Saccharomyces cerevisiae S288C: one gene and its partners. Changing the gene in region 2 together with the main gene of any one other region gives a genetic interaction. Each region holds a gene or a part of one and is shown on either strand. Other genes may lie near its edges. The genes, in order: HAL9, RPL20B and SPO1.

Region 1 (4,416 bases), 750 kb from region 2:
CCACTAATCGATCATAAGATTTTTTTAGGATATCGATGATCTCTTTTACCTCACCTTTCTTTTTTAGATCGTTCATATTATCCACAACGTAAAAGAAGAGAACAAACATAGCAGTAGAGAACTGATACATAACCTCGTTATACATATGCGCCTGGTAATTGATGCCTTGAAACAGCTGTAACATTTCTTTACTGGCGTTTAAGTATTGACTTGAAAAAAGAATGAATAGCTGAGGAATATCATGGCGAGAACCTTTGTATAGGCGTTCGTTATCAATCAATAAGGATGTAGTCATCATGCTCAAAATCACTTTAGAATATAGCGCCCTAAAATGACAATTCAAAACACGAGAGCATGCAATCTCAAAACTTAAAGCCGGATTTTCTTGGGATTTTTGAGCGTAAAGTACCGATAAATACTGTTTATAACTTTTTAGTTTCATACTTACGTGCAAGTTGTCTCTCCAATTGTTCAAAGAATCATTGAGATCTTTGATTTTATCAAGCATGGCATCGAATGAAAGATCTAGAGTACTTCTGACAGCAAAACAAGTAGAGTATATTTTACTCTCAATACTAACCAATTTTGAAACATAATATGATATGAAAAGGGATATGTGCTGACAAAAATTTACAACTACATTCAATGCAGAGTTGACATCAGTAATTTTATCGAGATCTTCCTTTTTATCAATAAGATCAGGTAGAATATTAGTTTTTATCACTTCATAATAATTTTGATCTGTTAGCATATCCATATCGCGTTCCCCCACAATAGGGGGTCTGGATAACATTAAAGAATATAGTTTATCTGTACAAAAACAATGCCACCACATTCTTCTTCTCCTTATGGCTTCTTCAAAGTCTAGTGACTTGTAAGAGGATTTTCTATTTAATTCCATGTCAACCGCCAATCTAATCGCGGTTCCTAAAATACAATTTGCTAGTTCAGTATCGTAGGTAAGTTGAAAATATCGGTTCAGTAGTAATAAAGCTTGTAGTGTTCTTGTACCTGAACAGATGGTGGACAGCTTATGATAATAATACATGGCATTTAGTAAGGCAACGTTTTCGATTTTTTTTAACTCTTGGGAGGTTGGATCATATCTATCTTTCCTTAGAAACTTTGAATCACCTCTTATAATTGATTGAGTGGCAGATGCACCCGAGCAGAGACACACGTTTAATAATAAATGTTCAGGATATGTGAGTTTTTCGCCGCTTTCGCTGTAGTACTTTTCTGCTAAGTCTAGACATTCTTTTAACGATATTATACCAGTTACAGAGGATAATAAGGTAGCATGAAAATTCTCAAGAAGTCTCTTTGCTTGCTTTTTCGGAGGTAATGAGTATAATATTATTTCGCTGGAGAAGAAAGCCGGAGATGACAAATCCATAAATTTTTTCATTTGAGTTGCATACCATTTTAAAGATATGCTTAATATTTCGCTGATTGGAGAAAGAAACTCCTCATTGGACGCTTTCACTCCTAAACTTTGTTTGAACCAATAGAGTTTTTGAGCAGTTAAAAGTGCCGTAGAGTATATTTTTCTCGCTGGTTTGGGCAAATTGTTCTTTTCCTTGTATTTGCCTTCCTGCTTTTTAACAGCCTTGTCCAATAACCACTCAAGTCTAGCCACACTGTCAATAATGTAAGACATTTTTCTATCCAATTTTTCAATCTTTGAATTCATTTTTTTGTTAAGATTATTTTGAATATTGGAGACTTTATCGATGATATTGCTTTCTAAGGGGGAATTACCGTTTAAAAGTTCAAACCTTCCACTGTTCGGTACTGAAGAAGACGCTACAGGATTGCTAATACTATTTGAGGTTTGAAGTGATTCCCCTGGTGTTGCATGATGTTTGATTTCTAATTTTCTTTTCTTCTTAAGAATCTCATCACGATGTTTGAAAGTGCAAGGCAACTGAAACTTAATACAGTTTGAACATTTTTTGGTCTGCTGGTCCACTTCATCACATCTGATTTTTCTTTTTCGGCAATGGTCACAGGCCTTTGATACACGTTTCTTGAGATTTTTACCAGAGCCGCTCATATCATTACTGTTAGTGTGTTCCATCATCGTGCTGATGTCACGGTTCTGTTGTGTCTGAAATTGCGACTGATGCTCTGTTGGCGAGTATATTGTATTGGGATAAGCCACATTCATGGGGATATTTGGACCTATTGTACTACCTGTCATAAGGGTGTTTTCTCTGTTAGGCATCGTCATCAGTTGATCTGGCACAGGCATCGACCATATTTGAGTTTCAGGAACCAGACGTGGGGTACCAGTTTGATGGTTTACATTTGAAATGTCACTTCTACCGGTGATTTCATTGTTAAAAACCGCATTCATATTGCTTGCTGAGTTTGAAAACCCATTTGGGCTGTAATCTCCACCTTGATTTTCCATTATTTCAAACCGAAGATTTGGAGTGGAGAGTGCTGATTTCCTAAGTTGAATTAAAGTACGATAATAAGCTCCCTAAGACATTTATTCTTTTTTCGAATTAAAGGCTTTTTATATAAAGCCATCTTTCATGTACGTAATTGGAGATTATACCAAAACCAAACAGGGTAAGAGATGTTTCTCTAATGAATAAAATAACAGTGTTACCTTAGCACAAGCCAATATTCAAAACACATGTGGTAGACCTTCTGTAATATTTATGTATATCTCCATAATCTTTCACCTACACAATCTCACTTATATTGCGGCTAACGTACATTGTTAAATATATATGTATCTGTGTATTTGTTGTACCTCAGGGTGAGGGTCCCGCTTCCGTCTGTAGTCGGTATTCGTAAAGTAAAAGACAGAGCGAAGCTTATGTTCAAAGCTCGTCATGACTACTGGTATCTTCTAACTGGTCTTCTATGTGTGATAATAGGCTCAATTGTAGACGAATGATTTTCAGTTTTTCTTTAACTTCTTTACTCAAGTCATCTCCATTTTGCTTAATTAAAGCTTCTAGTCTTCGCCTTTCCTTTTCCAGCCCATTCACGTCACCGTATAATTTAGATAAAGTATCAGAGTAGTATTCTTTACCAGCTTTACACAGAAGCTGTTGAGAACGTAATTCTTCATTGCAATTCCTAGAATCATCGAAAATATGTTCTATGAATCTTTCTTCTGTATCTTTACTTCTTACAGTATCGATAAAGTTGCTTAAACTCTTTAGGTTCCTACTCCCTTCAAAACGAACAACCCTAGACGTATCCAGTTGGTACTTAGGATTGTTGAACCACGTCTTGATTCTTTGCCATAGTCTTTCATGAAATTTCATAGACGACCAATCGAGCTTCGGAAGAACTAAGGGCTTAGTACGAGGTTTGACCAGTTCAATTATTGGAAATCCAGGCAAGTCGGTACATAAAGTTGGCCCGAAGAATTCACAGTTAACTTCAAGGAAGTTAATTGGGGTATCATCTTTATTAGCTTTTTTGGCGTATAGCTCACCAAGCTCTTCGTATACTGGGGCCAGAGTTTTACAATGTTGGCACCAAGAAGTGTAGTATTTTATCATTGTGTAAGAATCATTCCTATTGCAGATATCGAAGTACTGCTCAATCGACTTGACCATCGTGACAGCTTCACTGTAGGCCAACGCTGGTAAAATGACGACGCATGTTGATAATACGGAAAATAAAAAGCCGTGCAATTTCATCTCCTTTGTGTTTTACTTTGCCGACGTACTTGCACTAGACTCGCTGTGTTTTTTTTCTGTTGTTTTGTTGTTATGCTGTTCTTTAGCTCAAAAAATTGGCCACTGTTCCCCGCTCTGTAAATTAATTGCTCTTAAAGAAACAAAAATGATTAAAAAAAATTAGAAATATTTGAGATAATAAGAACATCATTCAGGTCGCCCATATTCACAATTATTTACAGACTGTATTTTAATGAAGAATGTGTGCATAACTTGATGGTACCTATTCAATATAAAATTTGATAAATAAATAATATTATAAAAATGTCTATGTAATTATTATAAAGCTCTAGAGTATGTATGAGTTGTTACACATAGCATTCCAATGAGTACTTGCTTTTTTCTTCGTTCTTTAGACATTTCAGAAGAATATTCTTTATCTTGTCATTGTTACTGCAACTACTATTATAGTATTATTAGTATTATTGTTGGTATTGTTACTATATATTTACGCTTAAAAACTCCAAATTCAGACCCCAAAATATAATTTAAATAAACATTATCATTTCCCCTCATTCCCGTTGACCTCATGAACTAGCGGTGAATTATGTACTTTTCTTCTGTATTCTAGAACTATGTCACCCTGAGATTTCCAGTAAAGTGTTCTAACGGTATTTAAAGTCATATCGTTATCAAGCACTTGGCCCCTACATAGTAGATCCAACCAAAGACTAGGTTCCATTTTTGCTTTCATTTCAGGAGTTTT
Region 2 (4,015 bases):
GTTTATCCCCCAAGCTTGTTGCTATGCAACTATTTGTCCTTATAATATGTAGTATAGTAAAACTCTCGTAGTTACTTTCTTGGACATCACTGCTGTCCTGAGATAACATTATATGCTCTATTCCCATTGGTGGGACGATAACTGATTTTATTCATTCCAACCAAAAGATTGTACCGATATGCCATGACAACGAAATCTTGGAATACTTCGAAAAGAAAACACTTTTTTGTTGTCTTTCTGGGTGGGAACTAACGTTTCCATTATTTTTTTAACTGACATTGAAAAGGCAAAGCAACTGTCCTAGATTTTTTTGTTCTACTTAAAAGAGCCAAGGAGACCTAAAAAAGATAGTTATGAATATCCTCAGTATTGTTTACCCCTATACAAAAGTTCTAATCCAATAAATATGTAATGTTAAGTAAAAAGACGGAGAAGAAGCAGTAAAATAAGTCTCTTTCCTCTCCGAAGTAACGAAAAGAAAAGAGCAGAAAAGAAAAAACGCCGGTCTCGCTGCCTATGGTTCTATTTAAAATCATAGCATACAATAGACTTCGTAATGAAGATAACTGGACTTCTTTGCAACGGTGTTCGTCTATGCGGTCGTTAAGACACAAGGACTCAAGAGGGTTTAGTATCCTTTTTTTGTTGGTTCCTGCAGCAGCGTCAGACGCGTTGCTGATTATCGCCGATTGACGCGCGCCACAAAAACGTATCATTGTCATTAATTCATAAATTTTGGAACTATAAATTGCTAAGAAGTGTTCACTTTTTACCTCCTTCTACTACACTTTCGACAAAATTTCTTCCTTTGTTATTTTTGAGAGGCAAGCAACAAGAACATAAAAAATTGTTTTTGCTACATTGGTTTCACATAACATATTTCAACAAACATGCCATCAAATTTGAATATAGTGAAGGTTACAAAACCACAAGAAGAAAATAAGAATTTTTTACACAAAAACACGAATGAACCCAATGAAATGGAACAATCGCAGACACAAGAAGCAGTTACAGAAAATTTTACCGAAAACAGTAATCTCAGTGCAAATGAACATGCAGCTAGGAGGGGTAGATTAAATTTGAAAACAGTTGATCACATAGAAACTTATCCAATAGTGCAAGAAACAGAAGAGATTGCAAAGAAGATTGCTCTAACGAGAATTATTTTAGCACAAACAAAGCCTAGAATCGATAAAGTGGTAGTGTCACGTCCCGTTCAAGCCGTAGCACCAGTGGTCAATTTTTTTGACAAGATGGCCAATTCGACTTTAAGTACAGTAGAGCGCGTTGTCCCTTCTTTGAAAACAAAAACTTATAAAAGATTAGGTGAGGAAATTGCACTTCCGTATACTTTGTCGAAAAAGTATGGAAAGCAGCTCAGGGATACGACAGCAAGAAATGGAGACAACTATGTTTACCAACCTGTCCATGGAAGGTTGATGAAATTTAGGAAGTACTATAATGAAAAATTCATAGACACAAAGGGCAAGCCTTTGATAAGGGGGCAACTTGACCCTGTTTTGTTACCAGTCAATAATACATTCGAAAAGGTAACGGTAAAGTATTTGCCCAAAGGTAAGAAAGTTCCAAATGATTCCTTTTCTTGTGAGTTTAATAGGGGGCTAGCTTTAGAATACAATTTTATGACAAGAGCAGTTTCTGCAGTTAGTCATCAAGTTGTTGGTATTGCAAAGCTTCCCATTGCCTATGGATATCATACAAACTCTGTTTATAATAAAAACTTAGACAAACAGGCCGATTTAAAAATGAAAAATGTATTGAGAGGTACTTGGGATACCATAACTGATTTAGAACGCGAAATTTGGGCCTCTGTCACCGATAGAAGTTTGTTTAGATTTTTTGGCAACAAATCTGAGGGAGGAGATTTACCACATCTAGTACAATAAGTTCGCATAGAAAATAATTTTAATATAGGCGAGAATTTCAATTTGTACCTACTGGCGCAAATTCAATAGGTGTTATCTATTGAAAGCACTGAACTTAAATTTACCAATGTATACACGCTCAACATAAAAAAGAGGTAAAAGAAAATATATTTTTTTGTAAGGAAAGGCTTAATAAATATTTACAAGCTAGATAAAAAAAAAATCAAATAGCAAGCTATTCTGTCATATCTTAAGGTGCTGATTGTTTGTAGGCACGAAGTAAACAAGCTCTTCCCCAAAACAATAAATACGGTTTTCGGGACTGTTCACCCGTACATTTTACGTTTCCGACGGCGCGATGCTATCTTTGAATTTTTATCTCTTTCAGGTAACCCCATGACCAGTAGGGCGGCTTACTACCGAAGAGAAAAATGTCCGCGGCCTAGACAGTTACTTCCCAGGCCAGGGCCAGGCCACACGGACAGAGGCAGATTCCAAGTTGTTCCGCATAGTCTGTCTAGCTCTTTCTCAATTTTCCGCCAGATTCTGTCTAATTTCTTTCCGCTCGAGTTGGCAACAGTACGAAGAAGTAACTCTAATAGATAGATATAACCGTTTTTGAGGGCATTATTTTTGCAGAAGATAATAGAAGAGAACCGTAACAAAGGAATCAAGCAAAGAAAAAGTATGTAATAGAATGTATTGTATGCTTGTGGAATGAATGTCAATGTAGCTATTTTATATGGTGAGCTCAAATTGAATGAACATATCGTGGAAATTTAAAATACTGAAGAATACCCAATAAGTCAATGCAACCTGTGAATGTTTTTCCTGAAATACGCCGAATACTGAATACGATTATTACCATAAATTGCTTCTAGAAGGAAGGCGGTGTACCATTTAATACTGATGATATGGTTAATATCATTTGAGAAGTCTTCACATGAGGACTATAGAACTACCATCCAGGAATTATAGAGGAAATTAACTGAATCAGAGATCTATTTTGAAACATTCATTTACATGTAATTGTCTGCAATAAAGCAATATTTTTGAAATATGCAAGTTTACTAACAAGAATAAATTCTTTTTTGATTTTTATCTTTAACAGTGGCTCATTTCAAAGAATACCAAGTCATTGGTCGTCGTTTACCAACTGAATCCGTTCCAGAACCAAAGTTGTTCAGAATGAGAATTTTTGCTTCAAATGAAGTCATCGCCAAGTCTCGTTACTGGTATTTCTTGCAAAAATTGCACAAGGTTAAGAAGGCTTCTGGTGAAATTGTTTCCATCAACCAAATCAACGAAGCTCACCCAACCAAGGTCAAGAACTTCGGTGTTTGGGTTAGATACGATTCCAGATCTGGTACTCACAACATGTACAAGGAAATCAGAGACGTATCCAGAGTTGCTGCCGTCGAAACCTTATACCAAGACATGGCTGCTAGACACAGAGCTAGATTTAGATCTATTCACATCTTGAAGGTTGCTGAAATTGAAAAGACTGCTGATGTCAAGAGACAATACGTCAAGCAATTCTTGACCAAGGATTTAAAATTCCCATTACCTCACAGAGTCCAAAAATCTACCAAGACTTTCTCTTACAAGAGACCATCAACCTTCTACTAAGCCAACAAGATATTTCTACGTTTTTTAGTATAATAAAATTTTGTATAATTCATTTTGTAGATTCAAGGAAATTTTAAAATATATCCTGTTTCTTCTCTTACATTATGCACTACCAGCGTGAAAGCACAATGTCATGCCATGTATCTTTACAAAATCCAGGGTCCATAGCGGGTAACAAATTATTGGTTTTTCTGCGATAAATATAAAACGTAGCGTAATTATAAAAATCCTGAGCGGTGTTGTCGTAGAGCAGTTGAACATTACGTAAACAGATATCTACGCATTTCTGTCATTTGGATTCATACAGGGTTTACAGACAATATGGGGACCGAAGATGCCATTGCCCTTCCAAATAGCACGCTAGAGCCGCGTACCGAAGCTAAGCAAAGACTATCATCTAAGAGTCATCAAGTCTCGGCGAAAGTAACGATTCCAGCAAAAGAAGAAATTAGTAGTAGCGATGACGATGCACACGTTCCAGTGACAGAAATACATTTGAA
Region 3 (4,416 bases), on a different chromosome or scaffold from region 2:
CTTTGAATGGCAAGATTTTATTACTGATATTGTTTACCTAAAAAATGGTGAAATTGAAATTGATGAAACGATATTCGAGAAGCATAGTATTAGATGCCACCAGATCGCGTCTTCGGATAAGATGGAAAGTGAAGAACTTGAAAAGGTTCTGAATCAAATTGGCCTTAAAAACTGATGCAACTATGTCGCTCATTAACGGTTATTATAGTGAAGACTACATAATAAAGACATAGATAATAAAAAAGAATCGCGTTTGAACCATGTTTTATTTAACCATATGGCATAGAAGAAAAGTAAAAAAGGTGAACAAAAACTCATTAAATTTCACAGAAAAAGTCTACTCTCTTATGAGTAACAGTAGTCTTTAAAGCATTGTAAGCAAAATGGCGAAAATTTCTTTTTTCTTGGGAGCCTGTCCATTGTTCTTTTGGTTAATATACAGCCTAAGCAATTTTTATAATAAAGGTCATAATCATTGCTAAACACTCCCCTTCCAGTGGGTAACATACTGCTAACTTCAGACTGATTGTAAGTTATTTTGAATGTCGACGTATTAGATGCGTTTCCATGATTCGCATTGGCATGATAAATTATAATTGGCAAAAATGAATCATGTCCAGTTCTTTTGGTAGCATTGCATCCTATAACAATGGGGTGAGTGAATGTTTTTACATTGTTCGGAAATTGGTAATGAACGTTCTCTTCATCTAATTTTTCGAATATCCTTTTTAACTTGGAGCCGTTTGGATAGTTGTCAATATCCGAACTAGAATCCAGAACAAAAATTACATCTAGTTCCCTTTCAGGAATCACCAATGTTCTGAGTGGAATATTCTCGCCGTCTTCTCCGCCGTCTACAAGGTATAAATGATTTTTGTTAGTTAGGACATTGTCTTTTTCAGGATAAAGATAAAAGGGATTGGGTTGATATACGGCATAGTCTGTCTCTAATCTCGAGGAGTCTTTCGAAATACTAAATATTTCCTCTTTACCTAGGCCAAAAATTCCCATAACCATATTCAAAGCTTTCATTGCTTCTCTGGAGGACTGAGAAGCCAAATTCCAGATGAAGATGAGCACATTGTTGAATATTGAAGAAGACGTCGCAGTAATAAAACCTAGATCATCAAAGTTATTAATACACTTCTCGGCCTTTCCAGAAACAATTTTTGAGCCCAAATAGGGCAACTTGACGAAAAGTCTGAGGATATTTTCCCAAGATCCAAATTCAAAGGGCGTAAATTCAAATATAACGTTTGAAAGAAGTCCATTTTTGCAATTTGCAACGAATATTGGGATCGGCACACTGCATTCCTTAAATTTTTTAGACGAGTTTACAAGCTTCGAAAACGAAAAGGAATGGTTGGGATCGTCATCGAAATTTTTTTTTAGTCTTTGAACGATTGCTTTACCCCAATAATCGGTGAACGATATTTGGAAACCCTCCATTTTTTTAGGCTTAATTTTCAAATGCAAACTTTTGTAAAAGTCTAGCACTTTTTTAAAGGTTTCAATCTTCGCATCAGTTCCAGTGAAAGTGTTGTTAGGAAAGAATATTTTTTTTAGTCTTGCTAATGGATTCAAGTTTCTCTTCGTTATCATATAGTCTTCTGGGATTTCTTCTATGGAATTCATGATCTCCTCTATTTGTTCATAAAAATTTGAAGAGCTTGTAATCAGAGAACCCCCCTGACGCTTCTTCATCTTCAAATCATTATCATTATACTCCTTTTTTGCATTGGTAACAATTTCTTCTTCGGAAATATCGAATTCCGGTATGCCTAATAAAAGATCCTCTTCAAGGTCCCACTCTTGTAGCAGGGATTTTACTTCAAAATTTTGAACTACCAAATCCATCAAGATCCAACTTCCGCCTGATAATCCAGCAATATAATCCGAATATTCAAAAAGGCCATAATCGTTCATTTGGGAAATAAATCCGGTACCTACTAACATGGATCTGTACCCGCCGCCAGATATAGCAATCCCAATTTTTGGAGGATCTTTCAACACGCGTTTATAAAACTTCGAACTAAACTTTGCCTCTGTCAAGGATTTTAAAAACTGAATCAGTTTATTCTTCGTTTTAATTTTTTTTTTCTTCAGATACAAGGTTTCTTCTGGACAGAGTTCATGCTAATAAACAAAGGAATACGAAGTTTTGGTATATTCGGTTAGTTTTGGCCCATATTTGTTAAAGTGGCAAAGAGTTTAACTTACTTTGGCCTCCCTAATAAGTGGAGAGCTAGGACATTGTACCTGAAATGGTGCTGTTGCTAGTACTACTGTCAATAACACAGAAAAGACAAAGAGGAGTTTTTGCATTATTTTGGGATATTTATGTCTTTACTTAGGTTTTTTACTTGTATACTTTCTCTGAGTGCATTTACTTAAATATGGTTGTATAGCCGCTGAAGTATGTTTTTTTTTACCTTTCTTTGTGAAAATCAGTAATAGAAAATAAACATAAAAAAAATAAAAATATAAAAAAAGAATAAGGATGTTAACTTCAAAAATATATAAGTTACTCACTGAAAGAGATGTACTCGACTTCAAATTAAAAATCTTCATCAGAAGAAACGTATTCATCACCCATCTCTTTTTTCTTCTTCATTCTCTCCTTCTTTTTCTTTCTCAATTCTGCAGAAGAGAGTTTGCTTTTTTTCTTCCCACTATTAATCTTGTTACCCATAGCATCAAATTTATCACCCTCTTCTTCTTTTTTCTCAATTCTTGGGCCAGCACCTTGTCCTGCAACCCAATTATGGCCAGAGGGTGTCATTTTCCCATCCTTAACCGCCCAAACTTCGTCAGTCAGATTCTTAGTAAATTCTGCCGAATGCGTAATAATAATGACACCACCTTCAAAAGCTTTTAATGCTTTTGAAAGAGCACCCAATGAATCTCTGTCCAAGTAATTCGTAGGTTCATCTAAAACAATCAAATGGGGTCTTTGCCACGTGCAGGCAGCGAGTACCAATTTAACCTTTTGCCCACCCGATAAACCTCTAATTCTTGAATGTGAGACTAATTCTGAATCCAACCCCAACATGGCGCAATGTAATTCAATCTCTTTTCTTGTTAAAGCCCTGAATTGACCAGAAGCCAAAGCTTCCTTCATATCAATTTCAGCAACCATTTTAGAATGGGATTCAATCAATTCGCCCCTTGGTAGCCAAGCATTGTCGACAGACATCATTGGAACCCATCTTTCAGATTTCATACCAATGTTCTCACCTAACAAAAACGAACATTCGTACTCATACGTGTTTTTAAATTTCCTTCTTGAATGGATTCCTGCAACCCTTCTTGGGGTCCCTTCAATTTTAAATATTTTATTCATGGCCTCTGCGTCATTTTCATTTATTTGCCTATTTGCTCTATCCATTGTTTCCCTATCCTCACCAGTTTGGAACCTCCATTGAATGTATTCGGATGGAGTTTTGTCTAAGTGCGATTCAATGTGTGCAAAAGCGTGCTGCTTAATATACGCTATACGACAATTCTCGTGTGTATATACTTCACCGCTGGTTGGTAACAGTTCACCAGTAAGAACATTAATTAAAGTGGACTTACCAGCCCCATTAGGTCCGATAACTGCAATCCTTGAGGATAGAGAACACTGGAAAGTAACATCTGAGACTTGTGGTTTAGTTGTCCCTGGATATTGAAAAGTCATATTACTTACTTTAACAATTGCCTTTTGCTTCGTTTTGACACCTTCTAGATAACCAGGAGTTGGGAATTGAAATTCAAGGTCAGAGGCACCTAATTCATAGTATGATTGTGCCGTAGGACATTTTTGAACAAATTCTGATAAATTACCCTTGTACTTTCTTAATTTAAGACCCTCATAATGTATGATGTATTGACAAACCTTATCCAGAAAACCAGAATCATGAGAGACAATCACCGATGTAATTCCGCAAGTATTCAAATAATTTACCAGCCACTCCACATTAACAGTGTCTAGATGATTTGTTGGTTCATCCAATAGTAGAATGTCAGCGTCCTTCAGAACAGCCCTCGCCAAAGCTAATTTCATTTTCCAACCTCCAGATAGGGATGCAATTGGCATTTCTATCATTTCATCGCTGAACCCAAACTCCTTTAATTTCGAGGTAATAACATCCTTAGTTCCTACATTGCCGGAATATACAAAATCTAAAACGGACATGTCCGAATGTGTATTATCGATATCGTGTTCCACATAAACAGTGCGACATTCATCCTGAGTGGGGAACCCGTCAACTTGGCCATTAGCAATGGATCGCATTAGAGTGGATTTTCCGGCACCATTAGGACCACATAGACCATATCTCCTACCTCGCTTCAACCTCAATTGAGTCTTGTTTAGTAATATTTTGGCACCATATGCCAAGGAAAATTCACAATTACACAAATCTTCACCCTCAT

Evidence for each region.
Region 1: mutations in RPL20B (region 2) and HAL9 together harm fitness more than expected from each alone (negative genetic interaction), as found in Saccharomyces cerevisiae (one large-scale study listed by BioGRID).
Region 3: mutations in RPL20B (region 2) and SPO1 together harm fitness more than expected from each alone (negative genetic interaction), as found in Saccharomyces cerevisiae (one large-scale study listed by BioGRID).

The regions. Positions count from the first base shown.
Region 1 is NC_001147.6:151,075-155,490, forward strand, and holds the start of HAL9 (Hal9p), read right to left. Parts: upstream 2,417-4,416; coding exon 1-2,416. Other genes in the region: protein disulfide isomerase MPD2, read right to left, coding at 2,838-3,671; DUF1 (Duf1p), read right to left, coding at 4,213-4,416. UniProt on the Saccharomyces cerevisiae protein: Putative transcription factor involved in halotolerance.
Region 2 is NC_001147.6:899,750-903,764, reverse strand, and holds RPL20B (60S ribosomal protein eL20 RPL20B), read left to right. Parts: upstream 1-2,570; coding exon 2,571-2,571; intron 2,572-2,997; coding exon 2,998-3,515; downstream 3,516-4,015. Other genes in the region: YOR314W (uncharacterized protein), read right to left, coding at 393-722; SPS4 (Sps4p), read left to right, coding at 891-1,907; DGK1 (diacylglycerol kinase), read left to right, coding at 3,837-4,015.
Region 3 is NC_001146.8:607,595-612,010, reverse strand, and holds SPO1 (putative carboxylic ester hydrolase), read right to left. Parts: upstream 2,326-4,416; coding exon 2,221-2,325; intron 2,137-2,220; coding exon 346-2,136; downstream 1-345. Other genes in the region: YNL011C (uncharacterized protein), read left to right, coding at 1-175; HEF3 (translation elongation factor EF-3), read right to left, coding at 2,558-4,416. UniProt on the Saccharomyces cerevisiae protein: Regulates spindle pole duplication in meiosis I, but not in mitosis. Required for meiosis I, meiosis II chromosome segregation and spore formation. Binds phosphatidylinositol (4)P mono- and polyphosphates.